Linked DNA regions of Oryctolagus cuniculus. The protein of the gene in region 1 interacts with the protein of each later gene in a biochemical or structural test. Links are inferred from orthologs where the notes say so. Each region holds a gene or a part of one and is shown in the gene's direction. Other genes may lie near its edges. The genes, in order: PRKN, UBE2G1, UBE2Z, SNCAIP, RNF41, PARK7 and MTOR.

The links.
Region 2: the proteins of PRKN (region 1) and UBE2G1 form a complex in vitro, tested with the Homo sapiens proteins (5 studies listed by BioGRID). The link is inferred for Oryctolagus cuniculus from reciprocal best matches to the Homo sapiens genes PRKN and UBE2G1.
Region 3: the proteins of PRKN (region 1) and UBE2Z form a complex in vitro, tested with the Homo sapiens proteins (2 studies listed by BioGRID). The link is inferred for Oryctolagus cuniculus from reciprocal best matches to the Homo sapiens genes PRKN and UBE2Z.
Region 4: of the proteins of PRKN (region 1) and SNCAIP, one has a biochemical effect on the other in vitro, tested with the Homo sapiens proteins (3 studies listed by BioGRID). The link is inferred for Oryctolagus cuniculus from reciprocal best matches to the Homo sapiens genes PRKN and SNCAIP.
Region 5: the proteins of PRKN (region 1) and RNF41 form a complex in vitro, tested with the Homo sapiens proteins (2 studies listed by BioGRID, with this or other methods). The link is inferred for Oryctolagus cuniculus from reciprocal best matches to the Homo sapiens genes PRKN and RNF41.
Region 6: the proteins of PRKN (region 1) and PARK7 form a complex in vitro, tested with the Homo sapiens proteins (2 studies listed by BioGRID, with this or other methods). The link is inferred for Oryctolagus cuniculus from reciprocal best matches to the Homo sapiens genes PRKN and PARK7.
Region 7: of the proteins of PRKN (region 1) and MTOR, one has a biochemical effect on the other in vitro, tested with the Homo sapiens proteins (2 studies listed by BioGRID). The link is inferred for Oryctolagus cuniculus from reciprocal best matches to the Homo sapiens genes PRKN and MTOR.

Annotation. Positions count from the first base shown.
Region 1 is NC_091436.1:6,277,527-6,281,026, forward strand, and holds part of PRKN (E3 ubiquitin-protein ligase parkin), read left to right. Parts: intron 1-2,565; coding exon 2,566-2,729; intron 2,730-3,500. UniProt on the Homo sapiens protein: Functions within a multiprotein E3 ubiquitin ligase complex, catalyzing the covalent attachment of ubiquitin moieties onto substrate proteins. Substrates include SYT11 and VDAC1.
Region 2 is NC_091448.1:49,558,710-49,562,688, reverse strand, and holds the start of UBE2G1 (ubiquitin-conjugating enzyme E2 G1), read left to right. Parts: upstream 1-1,179; 5' UTR 1,180-1,585; coding exon 1,586-1,631; intron 1,632-2,021; exon of another isoform or gene 2,022-2,106; intron 2,107-2,659; exon of another isoform or gene 2,660-2,842; intron 2,843-3,979. UniProt on the Homo sapiens protein: Accepts ubiquitin from the E1 complex and catalyzes its covalent attachment to other proteins. In vitro catalyzes 'Lys-48'-, as well as 'Lys-63'-linked polyubiquitination. May be involved in degradation of muscle-specific proteins.
Region 3 is NC_091448.1:25,128,948-25,132,447, forward strand, and holds part of UBE2Z (ubiquitin-conjugating enzyme E2 Z), read left to right. Parts: intron 1-1,100; coding exon 1,101-1,212; intron 1,213-3,500. UniProt on the Homo sapiens protein: Catalyzes the covalent attachment of ubiquitin to other proteins. Specific substrate for UBA6, not charged with ubiquitin by UBE1. May be involved in apoptosis regulation.
Region 4 is NC_091437.1:12,134,091-12,137,590, forward strand, and holds part of SNCAIP (synphilin-1), read left to right. Parts: coding exon 1-120; intron 121-3,500. UniProt on the Homo sapiens protein: Isoform 2 inhibits the ubiquitin ligase activity of SIAH1 and inhibits proteasomal degradation of target proteins. Isoform 2 inhibits autoubiquitination and proteasomal degradation of SIAH1, and thereby increases cellular levels of SIAH.
Region 5 is NC_091442.1:59,005,958-59,009,112, reverse strand, and holds part of RNF41 (E3 ubiquitin-protein ligase NRDP1), read left to right. Parts: intron 1-674; coding exon 675-946; intron 947-1,281; exon of another isoform or gene 1,282-1,328; intron 1,329-1,368; exon of another isoform or gene 1,369-1,485; intron 1,486-2,111; coding exon 2,112-2,247; intron 2,248-2,587; exon of another isoform or gene 2,588-2,635; coding exon 2,636-2,739; intron 2,740-3,155. UniProt on the Homo sapiens protein: Acts as E3 ubiquitin-protein ligase and regulates the degradation of target proteins. Polyubiquitinates MYD88. Negatively regulates MYD88-dependent production of pro-inflammatory cytokines.
Region 6 is NC_091438.1:159,764,181-159,767,680, reverse strand, and holds part of PARK7 (Parkinson disease protein 7), read left to right. Parts: coding exon 1-27; intron 28-3,233; coding exon 3,234-3,320; intron 3,321-3,500. UniProt on the Homo sapiens protein: Multifunctional protein with controversial molecular function which plays an important role in cell protection against oxidative stress and cell death acting as oxidative stress sensor and redox-sensitive chaperone and protease.
Region 7 is NC_091438.1:157,064,153-157,068,379, forward strand, and holds the start of MTOR (serine/threonine-protein kinase mTOR), read left to right. Parts: upstream 1-1,427; 5' UTR 1,428-1,562; intron 1,563-3,810; 5' UTR 3,811-3,840; coding exon 3,841-4,002; intron 4,003-4,227. UniProt on the Homo sapiens protein: Serine/threonine protein kinase which is a central regulator of cellular metabolism, growth and survival in response to hormones, growth factors, nutrients, energy and stress signals.

The DNA of each region.
Region 1 (3,500 bases):
CATTAGAGTTAGATTGAACTGAATGTGAATTCTGATTAAAAAAAGTTGTTGATGTCCTTAGGAAGGTGATTATAATTCTCTGGGCCCTCATTTACTATTCTATTAAATCAGGATAATAATGGTGACCTGACCAGATCTAAGGTATAACACCGGGCACATTGTAAGTACCTGATGATTATTGGCATTGTAATTATTATTTTATTATAATCATTATTAAGTGGGTCATCTCATTTTAATTGAGAGCAAGTTGGCAATTATGCCATATTTAAAAGAGAAATAATAGTAAAATTACCTGGCATTGAGTTTATCATCTTTTAAAGAAGATGAAATGTACACCCAAAATAACTGAGACACATGCAAATATTTACTATTTGGAAAGTTACCAGAAGTTACTAGGGAAATACTGCAAAATTTTATTTAATGTGTCACATAACATTCCCCATGGTTTGTTCATATGTTCAAGATTAGAGTTGGGGCCCCATGTTGTGGTGCAGCAGGTTAAGCCATTGCCTACAACACCAGCATCCTATATGAGTGCTGGTTCAAGTGCCAGCTGCTCCACTTCATATGCAGCTTCCTGCTAATGCTCCTGTGAAATCAGTGGAAGGTAGCCCCAGTGCTTAATCCTGAAAGCTCTGGTCTGGCCCAACACCTGTCATTGCAGCCATATGTGGAGTAAACCAGTAGATAGAAGATCTGTTTCTCTCTCTGTCTTTCCTTTTCTCTCTGTCACTCTGCCTTTCAAATAAAATAAATTTTAAAGAAAATAAAAGAATATTAGAGAGCTGAGATTCAAAGAGTGAGGGTTAGTATGTTTATATTCAGGCTACAAAACCTACAAAATCCACAAAGGAGCATATAGATGGATTTGAACCTCTGTGCTATGTTGCTTCTACCTGGAACCTGTCAAGTGTTGTAAGACTCACATAATAAATGTCACTGGAGACCTGCTCTGGCTGAATGTGTCCCCAAGGCTCTGGTCTGTGTGTGGGAGGCTTGGTTCCCAGTTAGGAGGCAATTAGGCCATTGGAGGCATCACACTCGGAAGGGATTCATGTAGTTCTTAGTTCTTGTGGAACCTCAGTTCTCACAAGAGTGGGTTGCCATAAAATGAGGTCTCTTTTTGGGCTTGGCCTCTTTTGTGTGCAGCCATTTCCTTCCTACTTGTCCACAATGTTGTGAGACAGCCAACGGGGACCTCGGAGAGGCCAAACCGATGTAGCTGCCTAATTTTGAACATGCAGCCTCCCAAACTGTGGAGCTGAATAAACCTCTTTTCTTGAGAAGAAAAACTTCAAGTGTCTTTTTTTATATCAACAAAAAATGGATTAATATCTGCAAAATCAATTTTTTGCTGGATCTGATAGCAGAAGGTGACATGGTCAGAACTCTGGATTGATAAGTCTTCTTGTAGCATGGTGCGGGGGCTTTCAGAAGTGAAGAAGAATGGATCAAGACTCCCGTTTGGGGGCCGGGGCTGTGGCACAGTAGGTTAATCCTCCGCTGTGGCGCCGGCATCCCATATGGGCACTGGTTCTAGTCTCGGCTGCCCCTCTTCCAGTCCAGCTCTCTGCTGTGGCCTGGGAAAGCAGTAGAAGATGGCCCAAGTGCTTGGGTCCCTACACGCACATGGGAGACCAGGAAGAAGCACCTGGCTCCAGGCTTCAGATCGGTGTAGCGCCGGCCGTAGCGGCCATTTGGGGGGTGAACCAACGGAAGGAAGACCTTTCTCTCTGTCTCTCCATCTGTCTGCAACTCTAACTCTCAAATAAAATAAATAAAATCTTTTTAAAAAAAAAAGACTCCAGTTTGGATGCTACTGCAAGAATCTAGCAAAGATTTGATGAGAGGCTGACTTAGAGCGGTGCACGAAGTTGTGGAAAGGAGAGTTCTGGCTTGAGAGGCATTGAAAGGGGGTGGCCACTGAAGTGAGAAGACAGCAGGCAAAAGACTGTGTGGTCCCGGTGGGGAAGAGTGGCTGCAGAAAGAGCAGTGCTGTCAGACGCTTCAAAAGAAAAGGAGAATGATTGTGTCCATAGCCCCAGTGGAGCGTTTTGTGCAGCAGCTGCGGCACCGAGAGGGTCTTCACTGTGGTCTGTGAAGTGGCCTGGACCTTTTCCATTTCTCCTTGAGTGCTGCTGGCATACTGCCTTTTCTTTTTGTTAGGAGGGGCCCTATGGATGGCGGGCGAGTTTGTACAGGCTGTCAGAGCTGAATCTCCTATACGAACTCCTGGGAATCTTACAATTCCAATCAAGCAAGGGTTCTGCTTGACTCCCTCTCTTTCCCAGAATAGATGTCAAAGGGAGTGTGCAATTTTGGTTTGCGGGTCACTGACTAATATATGAAAGGGAAATCCTACTGGGAAACTCCATTTTTCCTCAAACTATTGCTCCAGATAGCATTAGTAGCATTATTATTTTTTTGTTTTAAGTGAAAGAAAATGTGTGCCATTCGTTGAAGGGCAGGTGAGGGTAAGTCAGTTCAGAAATGCTGTCACTGCGATTTGAGGGCTTCAAGTCAGGCTCACTGCCTTTCTTTTCTCTTCCCATTTCTGTGGTTCAGTGTTCGTCAGGTTCAACTCCAGCCACGGTTTCCCAGTGGAGGTCGATTCTGACACCAGCATCTCCCAGCTCAAGGAGGCGGTTGCTAAGCGACAGGGGGTTCCAGCTGACCAGTTGCGTGTGATCTTCGCAGGGAAGGAGCTTGGGGATGAGTCAACAGTGCAGGTGAGTCTCCCCGGGCGGATTGCTCCCAGGACACCACTAGCCCGATTGCCAATGCCGCTTCTGCTGCCAATCTGACATTCATGCCCGAGATCTAATAGAATAAATAGTGCCTGGGGATTCCTTGAACTTTACTCCACAATGCTTCATTAATTCTGACCTTCTTAATTATGCATTAAAACGGCAAGCAGTAAGGATTGGAAGCACCGCTGTAAGTGAGGGGGAGAGAGCGCACGGCCCGCGAGCTGGGCACCGTGAATAAATGTTTACTGACTACAGGAGCAGCAAGGCACAATTTCTGTGTCTGTTCAATTTCTACCTTACTTATTCCGTTTGAATCTTAATGAAGAAGGAATCGAATAAATTGTGCCCAATCAGGCTGCTCAGTCACTGCGCTGTGTGGATTCGTAACCCGAGTGTGACCCCTGGAGGACGCTTGGGGTTGCCGCCGCGTGTACTGGAGCAGGTGCCTCTCAGACCCATAGTCAGCTCCTGAGAATCGCTTGACCAGTTCCAGAGTCTGGTGGGGAAAGGAGAAGGCCTGGGCACAGCAGAAGGCTGCTTTGCATGCAGTTTTCCTAAAGTTCTGTCAAATTTTCTCTCAAACAGACCTCTGGCGACTGCAGAGTGAGCCTTGCGTGTCCTCTGCTCCCAGGGCATCCCAGCTCAGTGGTGATTTTTGAGGGAATTGGGGGTTTATGACAGTGCCGTCACCTAGTAGGACAGCCAGTAGCTTGCTGGGGAAGCAGGCCAGTAAAATCTGCATGCTAAAGG
Region 2 (3,979 bases), on another chromosome or scaffold:
GGGCTTAGCGGGGAGAGGGGAAGGATAGTGAAGAGGATAGCTTTTTACAATAATTTTAATAGTTACAAAGATGTGTTAAAGGGGCCAATGTTGTGGTGTAGCGGGTAAAGCTGCTGCCTGCAATGCCCACATCCCATATGGGTACTGGTTCGAGTTCAGGCTCCACTTCCAATTCTGTTCCCTGCTAATGGTGTGGGGAGAGCAACGGAGGATGGCCCAAGTGCCTGGGCCCCTGCACCCATGTGGGAGACCTGGAAGAAGCTCCTGGCTCCTGGCTTTGATCTGGCCCAGCCCTGGCTGTTGTGACCATCTTGGGGAATGAACCAGCAGATGGGAGACCTTTCTCTCTCTCTGTCTCTCCCGCTCAACTCTTTCAAATAAATAAATAAATCTTTTTAAAAAAGAAGTGTTAGAATCTGCTTCTCCTGTTGACCTTGGCTGGAGCTCAGAGACTGTGAGCCCTTTAGAGCAGAGGATCAGACCGCATTCCCACACACAGCTTCTCCGTGTCTCCCGTAGTTAAAGTACATGGTTACTACGAATTTAATAAACATTTGCAGAAGGAACAGATAAATCCGAGTGTCATAAGGTATTACTCTTCCTTCTCCATGTCTTTATATAGACTGCGAGAACTGGGAAGAGAACAGACTGCAGGGTGAGGTTGGTTTTCCCAAGCCTTGCATCTCAAACTTTGACAGATGCTTTTTTGGATGTCAGTTTGAATTTTATCTATCAGATTCTGCTATTGTCAACTCATTTTACTCGCGGAGAGCATTCACTACGAGATACAGAACACTTTATTCCAAGGGTGTTTCTGTGCATCCTTTACTTGAATCAGGAACCTATATTAAGTCTATGGCTTAACATGGGGCACACCAGCACCAAGTTCGGCTTTCTAACAATGAGTAATTCGCGGACCATGTATGCAATGCTAGATAGCCTTTGGGTGCTCGCCAACAACTAGACACTAGCCACTTTTCTCGGGGCCCTTCATTCCCACACCACCTGCTTCACCCCCGAGGCGGCGTCCTGACCCTTGGCGACCTCTTCGTCATGGCGTCCGCGGGGCGTCCACCAGCTGAGACTTCAGCTGTCAGCGGGCGTGGACCTTCCCAAGATGGCGGCTGCCAGGGCCCCGGCGCGCAGTGGGCGGGGCCCCGCCGCCGGGGGCGGAGCGGAGAGGCAGAGGGGTCGGGCCAGCGGGCGGGCCGCTTCCGAAGTAGGCAGGCCCAGCGCGCTTGCGCGGAGCGGCCCTGCGCGCCGTGAGGCAGTGGCCGGGGAAGGCACCGGTGGGGCCCGACGGGCGGGTTGAAGGAGGGAAGCGGGCGAGTGAAGTCCCAGTGCGCGCCGCGGCGGCCCGGGTATCCTCCCCTTCCGGGCGTGAGGCGCTGTGAGAAGAGCCGAGCCCAGCGGACTAGCATCGGCAACGAGGCGCCACCACTGCCGCCCCAGCCCGGCCTCCCTCTGCTTCGGCGCTCCGTCCGCGGGGCCCGGGTTCCTCAGCACACCCAGCTCCAGCCGCCCCCAGAGCCTGTCCCCAGCTCTCCGAACGCCCCGGCGGCAGCCTGGGCCCTTGGCGGGGAGGATGACGGAGCTGCAGTCGGCGCTGCTACTGCGAAGACAGCTGGCAGGTGAGCGGGAGGGCGGCGGGCGGCGGGCCTGGCCGCGATCGCGGACAGCCGCTGACGGCACGTCGGCCGCTCCGGCCGGCGGGGACCAGGCCTGAGAGGGGTGGGGAGTCCGCGGCACGGGTCCCAGACGGGCCCGGCACTTCTAGCCCGGGTCTCGGAGGGCATTGGGGGCGGGGACGCGTCCCAGCCCCGGCCCTCGGGCGCCCCGGGGGTCGGAGGGGAGGCTGCCCCCTCCCCCACGGTTCGGTGGGACGTTGCGGGGGAGGGGCTGCGGGCCCCCGGCCGGGCCGAGCCCCCTCGGAGGGGCGGGTCCCGGGCTCAGGTGCGGTCGAGGCCTCCGGACCCTCTCGGGGGGTGGCGGGGGTGGGATGGGGGGAGGCTGGAGCCGCTGGGCCCCGCGCGGTCGCCGTCGCTGGCTCGGGTGTCGGAGCCGGCGGCGGGAGTGGGCGAGCGGAACTGGCCCCCGGCCGGATAGGTGAGGCGCGCAAAACTTCTCCCGTGGCAGCGCCGGGTCGGCGGAGTTGTGGCCGACAACAAAAGCGCCGGCCTCCGCGGCCTGGGCGCTGGCGCGCGGGCGCCCGGGACGCTGGCGGGGTGCGGGACGCCGCCTTGCCTGCCTCCGCCTGGCACGGGCTCGGGCTGCGCCGCCGGGCTGGGGGAGGGTAGGAGCGGGCAGAGGGAAGAGCCGCCCGCTGGCCGGCTCGGGGCTTTGTGCTCGCCGCCACCGCGGCCCTGCGCGGGCCTGCAGACCCCCGGGGCTGCGCCCGCGCGCTCTGGCCCGGGGCGGCGGCCGGCCCTGCTGGCCCGCGGGAGCCTGCGTCCCCCTCCCCCATTGTCCCGGCCTCCGGCCGTTTGCGGCTTCCAGGTTGACTTTTTCGGGGGTTGGCTCCTGCTCTGCTAGGACGGTGTGAGCGGAGCATGCGCGCTGGGGACGGACGTGTGCGGAGTGCGAGGGGGGAGGCGGGTTGGTGGCTTCACAATGCCGCCCCACGTGCTGCCAGATTTAAAGAGAAATGAGCCAGCAGTTAGCCCTGCCGTCGGCCGCGCTGAGTATGTCCTTCTGCGAGCAGGCCATCTTCCCCTCCCCGCCCCGCGGCCGGCAGCCCCCAGCTCCCGCAGAAGCTGACGGCTGGAGGGAAGAAACTTCGCCATAGATTTACTAAGAGTTGGAGGCAGTGGTTAAATTACCTTTGCGGCTTCTTAAGGAAAAGGTTGTCAGGGGCTGTTAGAGATTGTATAATTGGGTTTATTATTAGACCATGAGCAAGCAGGTTTGGACAAGTATTAAAGTTCTAGATGTTCAGGGGGAGTGACTTGGAGGTTCTACTGGCACTGCCCACCAAGAAGAATATGTTAGAATAGCAGTGGAAGAATAACAGCTTGATGTGTTTTATATTTGCAAGCACAGCTTCTGTGTCCTTTCGTTTGTTTTGGAGGAAGGAATTTTTTTTCTGGCCTTCGTAAGAACTCTTTAATCAGACTAAGTTTTATTAATGTGGTGAGCTAGTAAATAGTATTAAAGTACTAAGTTGGTTTTAAAATAGCACTCAACTCTTACATAATGGAAAAGATACACATTTTAAGTGATATAAAAGGAGTTACGCAGTTACTGAGAAAGTAAATTAAGACAAATACGGTGTGAACAGCAGCAATATGTCAAAACTATTTCCAGCCATTTGTGAGCCAACAATAGATTTTGATGTTACTCTATTCCATTTTGCATTCTTCTTAAAACAATAATAATCTCAAATATCGGGAAAACTTCTGAGCGCTCTTTATTGGTGGTTGATTTTCTGTGAGGGCACACTAAAATGTTTTAATGTAGAGGGGAGGGTGGTTTTGTTTATAATTTGTCAAGTTGCTTAGCTTCTGATTAACTTTTGTTAACCTTTTTGATTATAAATAATGAAACTGCTCTTAATTCTTAAGTTTTTGAAGGATTTTAATGAACATGTTCAAAAAGTAATCAAGAGTAGGCCAAGGCACTTTGTTAACTAAATGTAGTTCAAGCTTATTTGGAAAGACCTGATAATTGTTTACTTAAATAAAGGCCTTGTTTCGTTTTAGTAGTGTATTATGGGAGCTTCATGTGGAAACAGGGAAGAATGGTAAAATGTAATCTCTTGAAATCAGAGTGAACTTTTGTAAGATATACTAAATGGTTTAAGAATCTTGAGATGTATTGAACCGAGTAGATAGCAAACCTGTAAGCCATCTTGTCTGCTAGAATTCCAGAACCTACAGTAGTTTTATTTATTGAGCTCTTAGCCTGCCAGTCCGTAAAGATCTTAATCCATTACTTGGAGAATTTTACCCAGTGTATTTTGACTGTAATGAAGAACCTGATT
Region 3 (3,500 bases), on another chromosome or scaffold:
TCTCCCTCATGAGGCCAATGTGCAGACCATCTTAAGCAGACACTGCACACAGTAGGAACAGGAGGAGTCGGGTAGTCAGGTAAAAGTGGCAGAACTGTTTTGGGTAGAAATGAAGCATCCTGAAGACTTGGAGTAGAGAATTTCCACATGTTCTTAGTGTATTGTGTTAGCTGTACCAGCTTCATTCCTTTCCTCCCTACACAGGCCAAAGTACTGGGCAGATTGACTGACCGAAGAAATTGCACGAGAATTGACCCTGTTAACTTGAACCCCCAAATATTTGATGCAGAGGGTAGGAGGTGTAGGGTCCCTGGGAGAGCAACGCTGGCAAGAGGAGCTTGAGAGGCACTTCAGATGCACCTCCGACGCAGTCACCACTTACAGCTTGCTGACTCGGGAGAGGACAGGGGCCAGTCAACACAGAGCCAGTCGTGGCTCAGCTCTGGTGCCATCTCTTCAGTTAGGGAAGGCATGAGCTAAAGGAAAATAACCATTACTATCCAAGATGCTGCTCCCTAAGGCTGGCTCAGGTTTATGAAAGAGGAGCAATTTTGGTATTTCTCTTCATAGTCAAGATGCTGTCCATATATTATTTTCAGACCCACTGTGGCCTGTCTGTCCCAGCAGACTTGTGTAGTCTTCAGAGAATGCTTGATGCAGAACTGGGTGCTCCCCCCCACCCCCAGATGGCTCTGAGCCTCTGTGCTCAGCTTGTCTTTCCCCTCACAACCTGCATTGCCACCCGTAGCCAGTAAGCTCTCTCAGAGCCACAGAGGTTGGCGTCTAAAGCCCTGGAGCTGTTTGCCTGCCTCATTCCTTGGTGGTGTCATCTCTAACCTTCCCTGGCTGTTCTTTACGGACCCAAGGAAAATTCCGTCACAGTTTCTTGCTTGCGTGGCCCCTTTTCTTTTCCACGTGACGGGATTAGGCAGCTGACCGATTGCTGGTGAGTGAGGATGAGACAGGCTGGGAAGTTCCAGAGTGGTGTTAGTGAAGGAAGGACTCACTTGTGGTGAGTCCCTGCCTGCGCTCGGGCCCAGGGCATGTTCCCTGGTCTTTCTCCACCTGACCCTTTCCCCTTCCCTCGGCTGTGTTTGCAGTACGTGGACTGGCCCAGCCTGGAGCCCGGCCCAGAGCATCTCTTCTGTGCTCATCTCCATCCAGTCCCTGATGACTGAGAACCCTTACCACAATGAGCCTGGCTTTGAACAGGTAAGGCCGGGTGGGCCCAGCTCTCGGGTGTGGAATGCGAGTTGTTTTGGGAGATCTTTCTTTGACCCGGTACAGCTCTTGTATATCCTGATTGCCACTGTAGGAGAAAAATAGGGCTGACATGCCTGCTCCTTGATGATAACCTGTTTAATTTAAAAGGTTTAGAGTAACACTAGTAAGTATTGGCTTGGATTAACCTACAGTGTGGAAGTCAGTGGAGTCTTTCGGAAATGAATTCTGAGCCTGCTCTGGGGCTGTTGCTGCCAGTGGGTTCTTCAGCACCTGTGGTCTGGGGTGTTCCCTTAAGAACCCTGCCCAGCCTGCGGCTCTACCAGAATTGGCAAGTGCCATTATCCTGCAGAGCAAAGTTGCCAGTCCTGAGCTGGGGGTGGGATGTTTTAGTCAACACTGTCAAAGAGAAGGCGGAAAAAAATCACATTTTCCAAGTTTATGTCATGCAGATATGCTGGACACTGTCAAGTTTTTATGTTTTTTTTTTTGTTTTTTTTGTTTTTTTTTTTTTTGACAGGCAGAGTGGATAGTGAGAGAGAGAGACAGAGAGAAAGGTCTTCCTTTTGCCGTTGGTTCACCCTCCAATGGCCGCCACGGCTGGCGCGCTGCGGCCGGCGCACCGCACTGATCCGAAAGCAGGAGCCAGGTGCTTCTCCTGGTCTCCCATGGAGTGCAGGGCCCAAGCACTTGGGCCATCCTCCACTGCCTTCCCAGGCCACAGCAGAGAGCTGGCCTGGAAGAGGGGCAACCAGGAAAGAATCCGGCGCCCCGACTGGGTCTAGAACCCGGTGTGCCGGCACTGCAAGATAGAGGATTAGCCTATTGAGCTGCGGCACCGGCCTTTTATGTATAATTTCTTGTTTAATTTTCATGCTAAAGTTACTGTGAGATGTTGTCATGCCCATTTTCAAGTGAGGCAGTAGTGACTCAGGTTAATTAACTTTCACAAGAACACACTGATCAGTGCGGGACCCTGGATTTGTACCTCAGGCCAAGTTCTATCACTAGTCCAAAGTGCTTTCCTGAATTGTTCTTGAGAACTGAAAAAAATTGCAGTGATATTCTCAAAATAAATTCCATCTTGGTGCTTAAAACAGCATAATTCTTAAAGTACTCAAGGTAGCACTAAAATTTATCATTCTTCTGTAATAGACCTGAATAAATATTCTTTTCAACAAAAATGAATCTCTAAACCATCCTTTCCAAACAAATAATGTACCTGATTTCAGGAGTGGGCAGTAATGGTAATGGACTTGGCTAAACGAGGAGCTGATTTTAAGGTCTTTCCTTGTTTGGAAATTCAGGAGTGCTTACTTCTTAGTGTTCCCAGGTTTTGGTGCTTCACACATGCATGATGTTTTATAATTTTTCTGCAGTTCTCCAGGTGAAAAATACCAAACTGTTCCTTTTATGAAGTGGCTGGATCTAATCAGCTTCTTTAGTAAATAATTATAATTCCTTAAAGGATGTGTCTGTACCTGTTGGACAATGCACAACTTTGAAAATCTTGGAATCAGATTGAACCTCGCCACTCCTGTCGGCTATTCTCCACTGTTTTCATATGCTGTTTGTTTTTTCTCACAGCAGTGACTAGGAATCCGACTTCACAAAGATAACGTGGGAAGATGGTACAGTTTAGTTTTTAAACTGCAAACTCCCTATCTCAGAGTGGTAGTTCACATGGTTACTGGACATGTTGAATGTGGTGATTCCCCTCAGAAGTTTAAAAATCCCTACTTGGCCCCCCGGGGTTTCAGAAACCACGGTGCTGGGCTGGAAATGGACGAGCTCAGCGGCAGCCAGTCTGAGCTGCTGGAATTGGAGGCAGCAGGAACCGTGAGAAGGCAAGAGCAGCGTTCAGGAGAGCAGGCCGTCTCCCGTGTTCACAGCACACGCGCAGATGAGCTTTCTAGACCAGAGTTGGAGTGTTTCCTTTGAAAGTTTTGGTTCTACAGTTGACCCAGTGGTGGTGGAACCATACAGATGTGTGAGGGCGTTCAGCAAGAAGCTTCCTTTACATGTGAATGCCCAGAGGTTTCCACACTGACTGCTAACATCGTTTACAGCTTTTGATCCCACCATTGCTCTTAAATTGGTTATTTTCCACTGAATTCTTACCTGATAGGCCTTCACGTCAGGTTCTGGAATATTTGATGGGTCTTAGATTGCTTAGTAGAGATTGTGCTACCTGTAGCAGAGGCTAGGGATTGGTGTACAGTGGGGGGTGTGTGTGTGAATAGTTGTTCTTCAGGGTTTTCCTATATAGTGGGAAAGGT
Region 4 (3,500 bases), on another chromosome or scaffold:
GAGGAGCAGGTCAACAGCGTGAGCTGGCCCACCTGCCAGGGCCCCGAGGAGAAGACTGAGCACCAGAAGAAAGTCAAGAGCATCCTGAACATTGTCAGAGAAGGGCAGATCTCGCTCCTGGTGAGTAGCCGCTTGCGTGGCAAGCGCCTTCCTGATCTCAAGACTGTCTTTATCAGCTCCGCTTGTTAGGAACGGACTGATGATGCAGCTGTTTGGCTTCTTGCTTAATCTTGTGGCTTGCTTTGGGTGAGAGATGTGTCCCATTGCATTTTTAAATAAGAAGTCTGGAGGTTAATAGGGGAAAGCAATTAGTTACAGAGGAGTGTTGTTTCATCTCAACTTTGCATGAATTCTGCCGGAGTAAAGGCTCTTAATCTAAGACAAAAACAACCCAGAGCCAGCACGATCTTGTTTCTCAGGTGGTCCTGAATGCTCTCACTGTTTGGGGGATGTCAGTTCCTCGCTGGTGGTGGACCTGCCAGATACGTGAACAGAGCCTCTTCTGTTTGATCCTGGCCACTGTGCAGAAGAGGTGGACCGGGGTGTTTGAGGAGTGTCTGGAGATAGAGGCTCACCCCACAGCTGGCATGCCTGCTGACCCCCGGGGATTTGTCACTCAGTTCCAGGTCTCCTCTTCTAGAGAGGCTCCCCCAAGGATTCTAGACGTTGGTGTCCAAAAAAATCTTTTCTGCTTAGGCTCCCAGACTGAGACAGCATTGATGTACCTACATTGTCCCTTAGCTGCTTCCAGACTTGGATCAAACAGCAGCGAGCCTGGGCACACACTGGGATGCTAATCAGAGTCTCATTCAGGAGAATCATGGCACCTTGGCAGTGGGATTCTGCTGAGTGTAAGCCGTACAGAGATTAAGTACAGCGTGCTTGGTCTATAAAAACAAGTGGTCTTGTAATAGGGCAATATGACTGAACAACTTTACCAAATCATTTTTCTTTCTCCTGAAAAAGTCTTTTTCCATTGTCCCCTCTCACTCTCTTTGGTCCTTGCCCTGTTTCCCTGTTTCCTGAGTGTTAACCCCTCCATTCACACCCCATTGCTGTCCACCCATCACACCCATGGGACCTGACTTCACTAGAGGTGAGAAAACCAAAGGCCAGGGAGCCTCCAGTTGCCTCAGAGTTGCGGGGAGGGGCTGTGTCCCAGGTGCCCACCACAGCGCAAGTAGAAGCAGGCGTTTTGTAGTCTGCAGTCCAGCCAGCTCTGCAGTTCCTGGCCAGCTTAACACCTGCAGTGGGGAATGAAACCCAGCCCCTAGGCCAGCGCCGCGGCTCAATAGGCTAATCCTCCACCTTGCGGCGCCGGCACACCGGGTTCTAGTCCCGGTCGGGGCGCTGGATTCTGTCCCGGTTGCCCCTCTTCCAGGCCAGCTCTCTGCTGTGGCCCGGGAAGGCAGTGGAGGATGGCCCAAGTACTTGGTCCCTGCACCCCATGGGAGACCAGGAGAAGCACCTGGCTCCTGCCATCGGATCAGCGCAATGCGCTGGCCACAGTGCGCCAGCCGTGGCGGCCATTGGAGGGTGAACCAACGGCAAAGGAAGACCTTTCTCTCTGTCTCTCTCTCTCTCTCTCACTGTCCACTCTGCCTGTTAAAAAAAAAAAAAAAAAAAAGAAAGAAAGAAACCCAGCCCTGTCGCTCCCCCTCTTCATGGAGGAACGACACAGGACCCTGCGCTGTTCTTTCGTCTGCTCGGCCCTCCCCGGGTTTGCTGCTGGTTCTTCCCGGGTTGGCTACTATCCCTTCCACCTCCGTGGAAGGGCAGTTCCCCCTGGCCACATTCCCCACTTCCGCAGGGGAGCGGCACACCGCCGGCCGGCTTTCTCGGGGGCTGCTCAGGTGTTCCTTCAGATGTTCCCCCTAGATGTTCCTGGTGCATGCCGTCTCTCTCCTCCTTTATAGTCCTCCTCCGCCAATCCCAACTCGGCTGCCCACACGCCGAGTACGCTGCTCTCCTCCAATCAGGAGCAAGTCCTACAGTTTATTGGTTGAACTGGAGGCAGCTGTGCGGAAGCTGTTTACTTCTCTCCCAGCGCCATATTGTGGGAGAGCAGATGCATAGAATAAGTCTTAATTCCAGTAACTCAGTCTAGTCCGGTTTGCTCCCCACAGATCCCCCTTTCTTTTTATTTTTTGGCGTTGATACGCGCCTGTCTTCGGTGTCCCATGGCACACACTCTGCTCTGCTTGCTAGAGTTGCCACAGGTTCTTACAAGTCCTATCAATCAGGCAAACCGAATCCGGGTCCTCTCTTCGCCATGTTGTGAGGAGGTTTTTAGGCGCTGATGCGTGCCTGTGTTCGGTGACCTGCGGCTCATACTCTGATCGAGCCGCCTGCTGGCGCTTACCGCCTTAATCAGGCAGACCGAATCCAAGCTTTCTCATTGCCGTATTGTGGGGGAGACTTATTAGTGTTGGTTCGTGCCTATCTTCGGTGACCTGCAGCTCATACTCTGGTCGAGCTGCTTGCTGGTGCTTACCGCCTTAATCAGGCAGACCGAATCCAAGCCTTCTAATTGTTGTATTGTGGGGAGGCCTTACTGATGTTAATTCGTGCCTGTCTTCGGTGGCCTGCGGCGCATAAGCTGCTAGCCGCCGCAGGTGCTCATCGCCTCACTTAATCAGGCAGACCGAATCCAAGCTCTCTCATTGCCATGCTGTGGGGAGGCCTTACTTCTCTATTTCTCTATCTCCGGGCATTCCTATTTCTCCCATTCCACTTCTATCTTCCAGCATTCCTGTTTCTCTCCTTTTACTTCTAAACTTCTGTTTCTCTTATCCCTGCAGCTTCCCGGCGCCTCGCCCTGCCGGCAGCTTCACGGCTCCGCGCGGCTTCCCGGGCGCCTCGCCCCGCCAGCGGGCTCCGCCCCGAGGCTGCTTCTCGGCGCCTCGCCGGCTCTGAGCCGCTTCAGCCCGCGCCTCTCTCATCTGCGCGGCTCGGCTTCGCGCGCACACTCCGCGGTCTCTACGCCCTTCGCGTCTGCACCACGGCCTCGCGCCAGCCCCGTTCCCTATCTATTCACGCCCCGTGCTCTCTCTGCACGCGGCGGCTTCCGCGAGTCACACAGCGTAGCTTGCGTCTCCACCACTAGCATTCAATCCAAGTTCCCCGGGCTAGCCTGGCGAATTCAACCCAGCTTACGTCTCCGCCCCACGGTTTGGCTTCCCATCCTTTGCTCCCCGGGCTAATCAGACGGATCCCAATCTGGCTTACGTTTCAGCTTCTGGTTTCAACTTTTCGCCCCCCATTCCCGGGCTAACTTGAGAACCCCAAAGTGGCTTTCGTTTCCGCCTCGGCCTGCCCCCCGCGGCTTCAATTTCCCTAACATTTTTCTCTACCCGGTATGTTTCCCCAAGCTTTCCTCCAACAATACTCCTCCCTCATTTCTCCTGGCCTCTCCCCACAGTCCGCATCTGAATCTGTTTGTTCTAGCTTTCACTTTCGCTTTCGACCTTAGAGATTTCTCCCAACTTCCCCCCGTAGTC
Region 5 (3,155 bases), on another chromosome or scaffold:
GAAGCCAGGGAGTCTTCTCACCCAAGGGGCCCATTTCAGAGTTGCTTCTCAGAGAAGTAGGCTTAAAGGTGGTCTTTGTGACACTGAAAGAATGTGATTCCACAAACAACCGAGGCCTGTTACAGTTTCCACTCTGTAAGCATGGCTGCTTGGACTCTGGGCAGCACCTTAGGTCAGCCTTCTCAACAGGGTCCCAGGCTTTTGTAAACTTTTGGTTTCTTATATTGAACTTTTGCCAGTAAATCTCTGTTCCTGTCCTTTCTACATATGTAGTCTGAACCGGCCTTTAAGACCTGTGTCAACTTCTGTCCTTGACAAATAAAAACCTGCTGTGATTGACCTAGCCTGGAAAGATCTTCCCTCCTCTGGACTTGTTGAGCAATTTATTGTGTGTGCAATCCAGGTGATAATTAGTAATCAGTCGCCTTATGTCATCTCTCCTATTGTCCTGGGATGTTATTTCTAGCTGTGATTGTTATATAACTTCTCACTCCTTTGTCTTGTTTTATACAACCTATTTGCAATCTTGAGCACAGGAAACATTTTAAGCCTGTGCCCCACAATGCCTTGGCCACAGTAGACCTCTGTGACCCCCAGGGGGCTGTGACCGCAGTAGCTGTTGAGAGGCCCAGACGGCAGCTCTTAGCCCTGCTGATTCCTGTGCTCCCTTCCAGGCGCCTCATTGCGAACATGCTTTCTGCAACGCCTGCATCACCCAGTGGTTCTCTCAGCAGCAGACGTGTCCGGTGGACCGTAGCGTTGTGACGGTCGCCCACCTGCGCCCAGTACCTCGGATCATGCGGAACATGTTGTCAAAGCTGCAGATTGCCTGTGACAACGCTGTGTTTGGCTGCAGTGCTGTTGTCCGGCTTGACAACCTCATGTCTCACCTCAGCGACTGTGAGCACAACCCGAAGCGGCCTGTGACCTGTGAACAGGGCTGCGGGTGAGATTCCTTCCCCTGTGTCCCAAGCGGATAAGGGCCTTCCTGCCTGCACCTCTGTCTCTGGGTTCCCTGCTTACCAGTGCATGCAAACAGCACTCTTGGCCTCCCTGGCTCCCTGCCCCAGGTCTTACTCTCTCACTGCGCTTCTCAACTATGTTTTTGCTGTTGCTTTAATAAAAGGGGATAGAAATTCAGCAGTCTGTGCGATAGCACTGAAGGTGGATCCACTTTATTCTTTCCTTTTATTCCAGTACTTTCTCTGTGTCAGGTTGGCCTTCTCTTATTTCCTTTTGCCCTATTTTTTCTTTCTGTGGGGTGTGAAATATTTGATAAACTGCTGATAGCTGGGGCTTCTCAGAAGGAATAAGTGGGTAGGCAGAATCTGTAGGGGAAGAAGAGAGCTGGGTGGTAGCTCAAACACCGTGGCCTGCCCTTCTGCTACACATGCTCAGGTCTGGCAGGACACACGGCGCCGTCCCTCTCAGAGTAGGAGGCCGTCTTAAGAAAGGGGCTGGCTCGAATGGGCATGAGAGGACAATTCAAGGGGAATAAAGAAGAAAAGGAGGCCAGCGCCGTGGCTCAATAGGCTAATCCTCCACCTAGCGGCGCCGGCACACCGGGTTCTAGTCCTGGTTGGGGCTCTGGATTCTTTCCCGGTTGCCCCTCTTCCAGGCCAGCTCTCTGCTGTGGCCTGGGAGTGCAGTGGAGGATGGCCCAAGTTCTTGGGCCCTGCACCCCATGGGAGACCAGGAGAAGCACCTGGCTCCTGCCTTCGGATCGGCGCGGTGCGCCAGCCGTGGCGGCCATTAGAGGGTGAACCAACGGCTAAAGGAAGACCTTTCTTTCTGTCTCTCTCACTATCCACTCTGCCTGTAAAAAAAAAAAAAAAAAAAAAAAAAAAAAGAAGAAGAAGAAAAGGAAAAGAAAAACATGTAAGAAAATAAAACCCACCAGGTCCTGGAGGAGGAAAGTTCACAGAAAGTAGACAGCAAACGAGCCAGGAGACAGGAAGCACTGGGAGAAGCATGTGAAGGCAGCCTGACAGAAATGCTAGACCCCTGCGGTAGGCAAGGGCCACTCAGCAATCCTGGGCTGCAGGATAGACCATTTGGCCACACAGCCCACTGACTGCACCTGTTATGCTCTTTCCCCACCTGGGCCGCAGCTTGGAGATGCCCAAAGATGAGCTGCCAAACCACAATTGCATTAAGCACCTGCGCACCGTGGTCCAGCAGCAACAGACACGCATCGCCGAGCTGGAGAAGACTTCAGCTGAACACAAACACCAGCTGGCAGAGCAGGTAGGGTTCTGAGAAGGGGGGGGCAACATGTCCTTCACGTGCACGTGACTACCTGCCTGGGAGCAGCAAGCCCCATTCACGAACACAAGGGCCTGTGCTGTGAGCTGGGTGAGCGGACAGACACTGCAGCTCAGCAGGGAATCCGAATGGAGCTCCCCTTGCCTCCCTTCCTCCAATCGTGCATTCGTTCTTAGGTTCATTGAGTGCCGTCTCCGTGAAGGCACCTTGCCAGGTGTTGAGACTGCTGTGAGTCCTGTCCTCATCTTGCTGAAGCTTCTCGTTTGGTTGTTCTCATATCTCTGAATTGCTCTCATAACTCAGAGAAACTTTTCTCTTTTACCTGTTGTCTGCCGTAACGATCATCCTTGGTTCTTCTTGCCTCCAACAGAAGCGAGACATCCAGCTGCTAAAGGCATACATGCGTGCCATCCGCAGTGTCAACCCCAACCTTCAGAACCTGGAGGAGACAATTGAATACAATGAGATCCTAGAGTGAGTGTCACACCCCAGCCAGGAAATGGCAGTAAGGGAGCCGGGCTGGGGCCACCACTGATCGGGTGTTGGGATGAAGGACAGGGACAGAGGAGAGGACGATAGCCCTGAGCTCCAGTGCAGGATTCTGATTCATTTGGGTGGATGGAAGGGGGTCTGCCCAAGGATGGAGTTTATCTGGAAGTAGCTGAGTACCCACCCTCACGAAGCCCCGTATGAAAGGCTATCGAGGGCTAGGAGGGCCAAGCAGAAATAGTAGACACTGTCCTTATCTTCAGGTAGCTTGTGACCCAGAGCTGAGAAGGCAGAGTGGCAGTCCAGGAAAGGGATCTAAAATCAGCGTAAACAAGCAAAGCAAACAGTAAAGTCCAAGGTCCCTGTCAGTTCTGGAGTCCTGTACACACAGAGACTGACCT
Region 6 (3,500 bases), on another chromosome or scaffold:
AGGGCCTCATAGCGGCCATCTGCGCAGGTACCGTGCCTGGGGGCTGCCCTTCCTGCCCTTCCTTGTGGGGTCTGCTGAGCTGGGGGCACGGAGGTGCTGTCCCCTCAGAAGGGGGCAGCTGTGCGCCACCTCTCTGCCCCGGCGTCCGTTCTGCAGCTCTGCATTTTCCGTGTTTGGTTGACCTCGGAGGAGAGGAAGGCCCTCTGGAATTCAGTAAACAGCTTGTCTTGGCAGGTCTGGCGCCAGGAAGAGTGTGTGCCAGCAGCGTCAGCAGAATCGTCGGCAGAAACAGCAGCTTTGCCCTGTGCTGCCCTGCAGAGGGGAGGCCCGTGCCGCCTCCCGCCACCTCCCTGGCGGTCTCCGACTCTCAGTGGGCTCTGATCTCGGGCACTGTATCGTCGGCCACGTGACTTAGAATAGGCTCGCTCACGCTCCTCTGAGGTCCCCACATCTTTGAAACGTGATGTCTTGCCCTCTGGTGCTGTTTTCAAGCCGGTCTTGCTCCGGTATCGGATAATGTTCCGCCAGCCTGCGTTTTTCCGTAGTGTGACCTCCCCAGGGCCTGCCTTGCTGCAGGTCTCTGAGATGTTTGCCCACATGGCTGGCTGGCTGGAATCGTACGCTGACGTCTTACTTCAGTGCGTAGGCTCTTTAGAAGTCACAGGCGAGGATCCCCGTGACCTTACTGGTCACTGTAGCATTCCCTCTGGGGAGTCAGGTCAGAACAGATGCTTCGAAGATGTTATTGGCCTTTTTCCTTCTCAGAAGTGACAGCAGGGTGTGACAGTGCCGTCCTGTGGGCGTGGCATGCGTGCTAGAGATGTCCCAGGTCTACTGGGTCACGTGACAGGTGGTGATGTCACGTAGCCCAAATGAAGCCAAAGGGCCCCCAGGAGCTGGGGAAGAGGAAGGGAGGATGGGTTTGGCCGGCTTTGTGGCCCGAGGCCGTGGTGCAGGCGCGCGCTGCGTGTCAGCGAGCTGGCCTGGCATCGGCCTCGTCTGGTACTCGTGCTCTCACGGTGTGTTCGTCCTGTTGCACACCCTGACTCTGCGGCAGTGAGGTGAGGGCCGTGGAGGGGAGCAGAGCAGGTGCAACAAGTGCAGGTTTTGGATGAAAAGATGCAAGTTAGGCGCTGATACTGCGTGAGAAAGGTGGACACAGAAGAGAGGCTGTCTTGAAAAGAAGACAGAGGTTTGCTCTGAGTAGGGGCCGGGCGGAGGAGTTGACTGGCTTCAGGTGGGAGCAGGGCCTCAGACACCGGCAGTGGCCAGGTGTCCTTTTCTAAGTCACCACCAGGTGGCGCTGGTGGCTTTCCCCTTGGCTGCCGCGGGGCCTCCTGCTAGTCCTCCCCTCCCCCAGGGCCGCGGTGCTGACTCGGCAGCTTTCTCACCCCGCAGAATTTCTAGTAGTCGGGCTGCTTAGTGTCCCTGAGAGAGAGAGACAGAGAGAAAGGTCTTCCTTCCGTTGGTTCACCCCCCAAATGGCACTGCGCCAATCCGAAGGCAGGAGCCAGGTGCTTCTCCTGGTCTCCCATGGGGTGCAGGGCCCAAGCACTTGGGCCATCCTCCACTGCACTCCCTGGCCACAGCAGAGAGCTGGCCTGGAAGAGGGGCAACCAGGATAGAATCTGGCGCCCCGACCGGGACTAGAACCCGGGGTGCTGACGCCGCAGGCGAAGGATTAGCCTAGTGAGCCGTGGCACCAGCCCTTGCCTCTTTTTCAAAATAGACAGAAGCCCCAGAAGACAGTAATCACGGACTTACACGGCGGGCCAGCCAGCGGGAAGTGCCGGCGTCCGGGAGTGAGGGAGGGTGTGGGGGAGTTCCCCAGCTTCCTCACCCGGAGGGGAGGGAGGGGAGCAGGCCGCTGGAGCCCCGCCCGCTGCCCGCTCTGCTTGCGCTCCCTTTACAGAGGAGACGGGGGCTCTCTTATCCCTCGGCTCTGCCGTGTAAGAATTAGAGGTGCCTCGGGAGTCCGCTCAGGTAGACTGGACAGCGCAGATTTGGTACAATGCAAGTAAGGCCAAAGCATGCCCGGGGCTTTGCAGAAGGTTCCTGGGAGATGTGTGTGATAGAAACACTGCACAGATTTCCAAAACATTTTTGTACCAAAATTATCTTTTAATTCCATTTTTTTTTCATAACCTTTCTGAAGTACCCGCGTGTGTTTGAGGCTTTTGACCTAAGAAGTAAAAATCAGAACTTGGAGTGACACCAGCACCTCGCGTTTGGAGTGACACCAGCACCTCGCGTTAGGTAGAGCGCTTATGTAATCAGGTGCAGTTTGTTTGGTCCGTGTTTACAGCAGCTCTGGCTTGAGCAGCCCGCAGGTGTGTTACATAACCGTTTCCTGGGAATCATGTTGGAAAATGAAAGGTCAGGAGGACCAAGGCGTCAGGTTTGTGGAAGCAAACACAGGCTGTGCGAGGGGACGTCGGCCAGCCCCCTGCCCTCGGCTGTCACAGCAGGCTGCCCTGGAGTCTGCTCCTCTAGGTATGGCTTCGAGAAGAAAGGTGAACGTTTTTTCAAACCTTTAAAGTAAGGGAACAATTAAAAGTAAAAAGCCTTTTTGGTTTTAGTCCTTGTTTGAGCCCATTGAGTATAAATATGCTTGTGATCCTGAGTTGACCGCTTTCGGTGAATAAATGTGGATAAAAATCTCAAGTTGGTGCCTGCATCGTTCAGAGACTTCACTGCAGAGGCGCAGGCTGCCCTCCGCGTGGCTGCTCGCCTGGGTCCCGTGACCTCTCGGACACCGCCAGGCCGTCTCCCCCGGGCGGGGCAGCCTGCTGTCCCTGTAGGAAGCCTGCCGCCGGTGAATTTGGACGGGAGGGTTGGTGGATGTTCATCTGCTACTCCATTTTCTGGTAGAAAAATAGAATTGCAGCCGTGCAGTCTAGAGGTGCGATGGTGTTAGTGTGTCCCTCCTGCTGGGAGCGGTGAGAGGGGAGCGCAGCCGTCCCGGTACTCGCGGTGCGTCGGTGTCCTGCGGTGCGCTCCCGTGGCATCGGGGGGCATTCTCCTGGCTCCGTGGTTGTGGAGGGAGTTGAAGTCTCGCCGGATGTGCCCGGCAGATGGTTTCTTACAAACATACTCTTCAGCTCTCCCGTGGTTCAGAAGCCGCTCTTCTGGGCAGAGCCGCTTGACTCTGAAGATGCTGTGGCTGCTGCAGTTTCTAACGCACGCGTTTTCTGTACCTGCACTTACATCTTGTGTTAATCTTGTATCTCCAGGTCCCACGGCTCTGCTGGCTCATGAGATAGGTTTTGGAAGCAAAGTCACCACACACCCACTTGCTAAAGACAAAATGATGAATGGGAGTAAGTATCTGCTTATAAGTTGATGCACAAAAAGGCTTCTCCTGCGGACTGGGCATTTCCCAGCCATGTCAGCCGTTGGGCAGGGACGGTCCGCGCAGCTGGGGGAGTCTCAGCTCCTCTGCACGCGTGGCCACCAGGGGCTGCGGGGTGGTGTGTTCTGTGCTGGGGGCTGGGGTCGTA
Region 7 (4,227 bases), on another chromosome or scaffold:
GGGATACCCAGAAACTAAGGAAATAAGTAGTGAACGGGCAGAGGTGGGGCAGGATTTTCATGATTGACATAATTCACTTGCAACTTGAGCTGAATATATTGCTAGGAGAAAAATGCAATGGTTGACAATATAGACGCTGAACACCAATGACAAACGTGAAATTTAGAGGAACAATGATTTCACAAAAGCCAACAACCTAAAGTTGTAATCATAATTTAAAAAAAGCTTCTTAGGGCCCATGCTGTGGCTCAGAGGGTTAAAGCCCCGGGCTGCAGTGCTGGCATTCCATAGGGGTGCTGAAATCCCGGCTGCTCCACTTCCGATCCAGCTCCCTGCTAATGACCTGGGAAAGCAGCAGAGAACGCCCCAAGTCTATGGGCCCCTGCACCCACATTGGAGACACGGAAGAAACTCCTGGCTCCTGGCTTCAGCTCAGTTCAGCTCTGCCCATTACAGCTATCTGGGGAGTGAATCAACGGATAGAAGACCTCTCTCTCTGTCTCTACCTCTCTCTCTCTTTCAAAAAAAAAAAAAACTGCCTAAGCATTTTGTTAGCCACAGAATATTATACATCCCTTTATTATGGCAGTTTAATCTTATGGAAACTTTCATTCCTTCAATAAATAAATATTTTATTACACACATAATTGTTGGTAATGTATATAGGAAAAAGGCGTCGCCCCAAACCCATCGCATTTCCCCCACAGAAACACACATATATAATATGAAAAATTTTAAAGGGTTATATTGCAACTATATTGTATCATTTGTAATTTTGTAACAGACTGCAAACCTTTTTCTTCTTAGCAAATATTCATTTACCCTATCATCACTAACGACTGCGTAACACATATGCCTGTTTATTAATCAGATACCTATTGCGGGAGATCTAGGAATTTTCAGTGTGTACTAAAATAAACAGAATTGTGAGACAAATTCCATTTTTTTCGATATTTTTGAAAGTTTTTTTTTTTTTCATGATGATGTTACTTTTTCAGTCAAAACCTAGCTACGGTTTCTCGGGAGTGGTCTTGCGAGCCAGACAATTCTGGGAGAGTGAGAAAACTCAGAACAGTCTCACGTGCCTGTCAAATTTATCAGGAGAGCGAGAAGCCCGCCTTGGGCTGCGGTGACCCGCCCGCACCGCGCACACGCGCGGGGTCACGAACCACCGCCCCCGGCCGCGATGCGCGGGGGACTCATAGTAATGATGCACCGGATGTGTGCGTGGAAGTGACTGAGGGCAACTCGCGCGCGATTGGTTCTCCCGAGCGAACCTAATGCTGTTTTCGCCTGGCACTGGCCGCCTGGTTTGTCTATTTGAACAGTCCCCGCCCTCTTGAGAAGCCGGTCCCGAAGCTTCACTTCTCCTTCATTACTATTGGCCTGTATTCCAGTCCATCTTTTTCTTCTGCCTGCCGATTGGTCTTCAGGGCTGTGAGCCCGCCCACTCTCCCGCCCGGCGTAGAGGACAGCGGGGAAGGCGGGTGGTGGGACTGGGGGCCTGAAGCGGCGGTACCGGTGCTGGCGGCGACTGCTGAGGCCTTGGCCGAAGCCGCGCGGTGAGTCTGTGGCCTGGCACCGACCTCTGTAAGGCGGCAGAATATCCAGACCTACGGCCAGCCTGGTCCGAGGGAGGTGCCCGGGAAAGCCGCCTGGCCGGGACGTGGGATCCACTCAGTACCGGCCCACGACCTGGACGCCGCCCTAGCCTTGACCCCACTCCACGCCACGAGGCAACGCCCAGCTCCCGAGGACACCCAGGAGACCCTCCGGTCTTTGGGCCCGCCGGGGTCCCAGCTCCTTGCCGGCCGGCCCGTCAGCTCCGGCACCGGCGTGGCGCCGTAGGGTCTCCTTTGCCCGTCCCAGTCCCCCTTCGTAGCCACCTGGGAATTGGGGAGCCCTGCTCCGGGGCGCCCCGACCTCAGTGTCAGCCGTGCGCTCCACCCTAGAGGCCCATGAGAGACTCGCTCCCGGCAGCCGAGTCCCCTGCCTGGGATGCATCCCCTCTGCCTCTCCCCCGCCTCCGTCCCGGGGTGCAGCCGTCCTGGTTGCAACCTTGACTTCCTTAAGCCTCCCCAAGACCCTGGGGACGTCCGGCCTCCAGGAGTGAGGCCGAGGTCAGCCTGGAGCAGGTGGCGCGGGGTCTCGCTTTTCCAGCGCTTGGCAGTGCCTGGGCCCCGTCTTCTCCCTGCCCCCAACACCAAGTGCGGTAGCTTTCTTAGGGATCCTTGGCTTCCCCGGCCCCTAAGGAACGACCCTAACTTTTGCGGCCCTCTGGCACTGGAGTGTCTGAAGACTTTCCAAAGCCAATTATTGCCATGTTTCTTCCTCCGCGTGTCACAAATTGGTTCCAAAAATGAGAATTTTGGCAAGTTTTTCTAGAGTGATCTGGACACACTTAGGGGTATGTTACTTCCATCACAGCTGTGGGGGCTCAGCCCTGTCCTGGCCACTTTACTGCCTGGTGTAGCCTCCTCCCTGCCCCCCGGTTGTCAGAGAGAAGGAGTCGTGCAGTTGAGGAGTGAGTGATCGGTGGTCGGGACTAACTGTCTCTTACACAGTCGCCCCTTGGTGTTCCCCGGGGATCGGTCTAGGACACGCCCCGTGTGCGAGGATACACCAGCTGCTCCTGTAAAAGGATGTGGTCTTGCGTGTGTCTGTGTCCGTGTGCGTTAAGTCATGCCCGGAACGTGTCTCGTCACAAGGTGAAGGTTTGTATGTGTTCAGTACAGGCTCAACTTGTGTGGGAGGTTTTCAGTCCACAGTTGGTTGAACCCGCAAGTGTGGCTGTCCACGGTAGTGTCCTGTAGCGCACTGTCCACTGCAGTGAGCAGCCGCTTGTGCCTGTGACCCGTGCACACCGAGACTGCCTGGGCGTGAATGTTCACTGGAGTTTGGAGACTTAACAAAAAAAAGAATGGAAAATGTATCAATAATTCTTCACATTGATGACATTTTAAACTAATATTGGGGGATATTGGATGAAGGAACATATTTTGATTTCACCTTTTTTTTAAGTAAACTTATCTTTTAATTCCAGTTTTCTCTTTTTAGAAAAAAGACTTTATTTATTTGAAAGGCAGAGTTAGAGAGAGAGAGAGGTCTTCCATCCCCTGGTTCACTCCCAAAATGGCCACAGCAGCATGGGCTGGGCCAAGCTGAGGCCAGGAGCGGGGACTTCTCTGGGTCTCCTGCGTGGGGGGCCATCTGCTGCTGCTTTCCCTGGCGCATTGCGGGGAGCTGAATGGGAAGCGGAGCAGCGGTGACTCGAACTGGTGCTCCCATATGTGACGCGGGCTTCGCGGGCAGTGGCTTAACCCAGTGTCACAGTGTGGCCCTTACTTGTTGTTTGTGTGTATTTTAGATTTATTTATTCATTTGAAAGCAGCCACAGAGAGACAGAAAGGTCCTCCATCCGCCGGTTCCCTCCCCAGATGGCTGCAATGGCCAGAGCTGAGCTGATCCAAAGCCAGGAGCCAGGAGCTTTCTTCTGGGTCCCCCATGCAGGTGCAGCGGCCCAAGCACTTGGGCCATCTGCCGCAGCTTTTCCCAGGCCACTGGCAGGGAGCTGGATAGGGAGTGGAGCAGCCGGGACACCAACCGGCGCACATACGGGCTGTGGGAGTTGCATGCAGCTTTACCCACGACGCCACAGCGGTGGCCCCGAATCAAGGCTTTGCGAATGTTCCTCAGTGTGGTCTCCCCACCTTTTTAGGGTCCACTAGCTGATAGGGGCTGGGTGGAGATCCCCGTTGAATAACTGGGGCCCTAAATTACTGCCATGGTTTGCTCTCTGGAACATAAAAGGAGCTCTTCTCCAAAGAACCTCAGGGCAAGATGCTGGGGACCGGGCCCGCCGCTGCCGCCGCCGCCGCCGCCACCTCAAGCAACGTGAGCGTCCTGCAGCAGTTTGCCAGTGGCCTGAAGAGCCGGAATGAGGAGACCAGGGCCAAGGCTGCCAAGGAGCTCCAGCACTACGTCACCATGGAGCTCCGCGAGGTCAGCCTTCAGGGATCTGGCACCCGTCATCGTGGGGTGTTTGGGCCGGACGTGCCATCACTGGTGTATTTCACCTTTTACTTAGCCGGTTTTCATTTGATGTTGAAAGGTGAAGAGATAAATCTGTCCTCTGACTTGCTCCCCATAAGCCTGCGACAGCCAGGGCTGGGCCAGCCCAAAGCCAGGAGCCCAGAACTCTGTCCAGGTCTCCCACGTGGGTGGCAG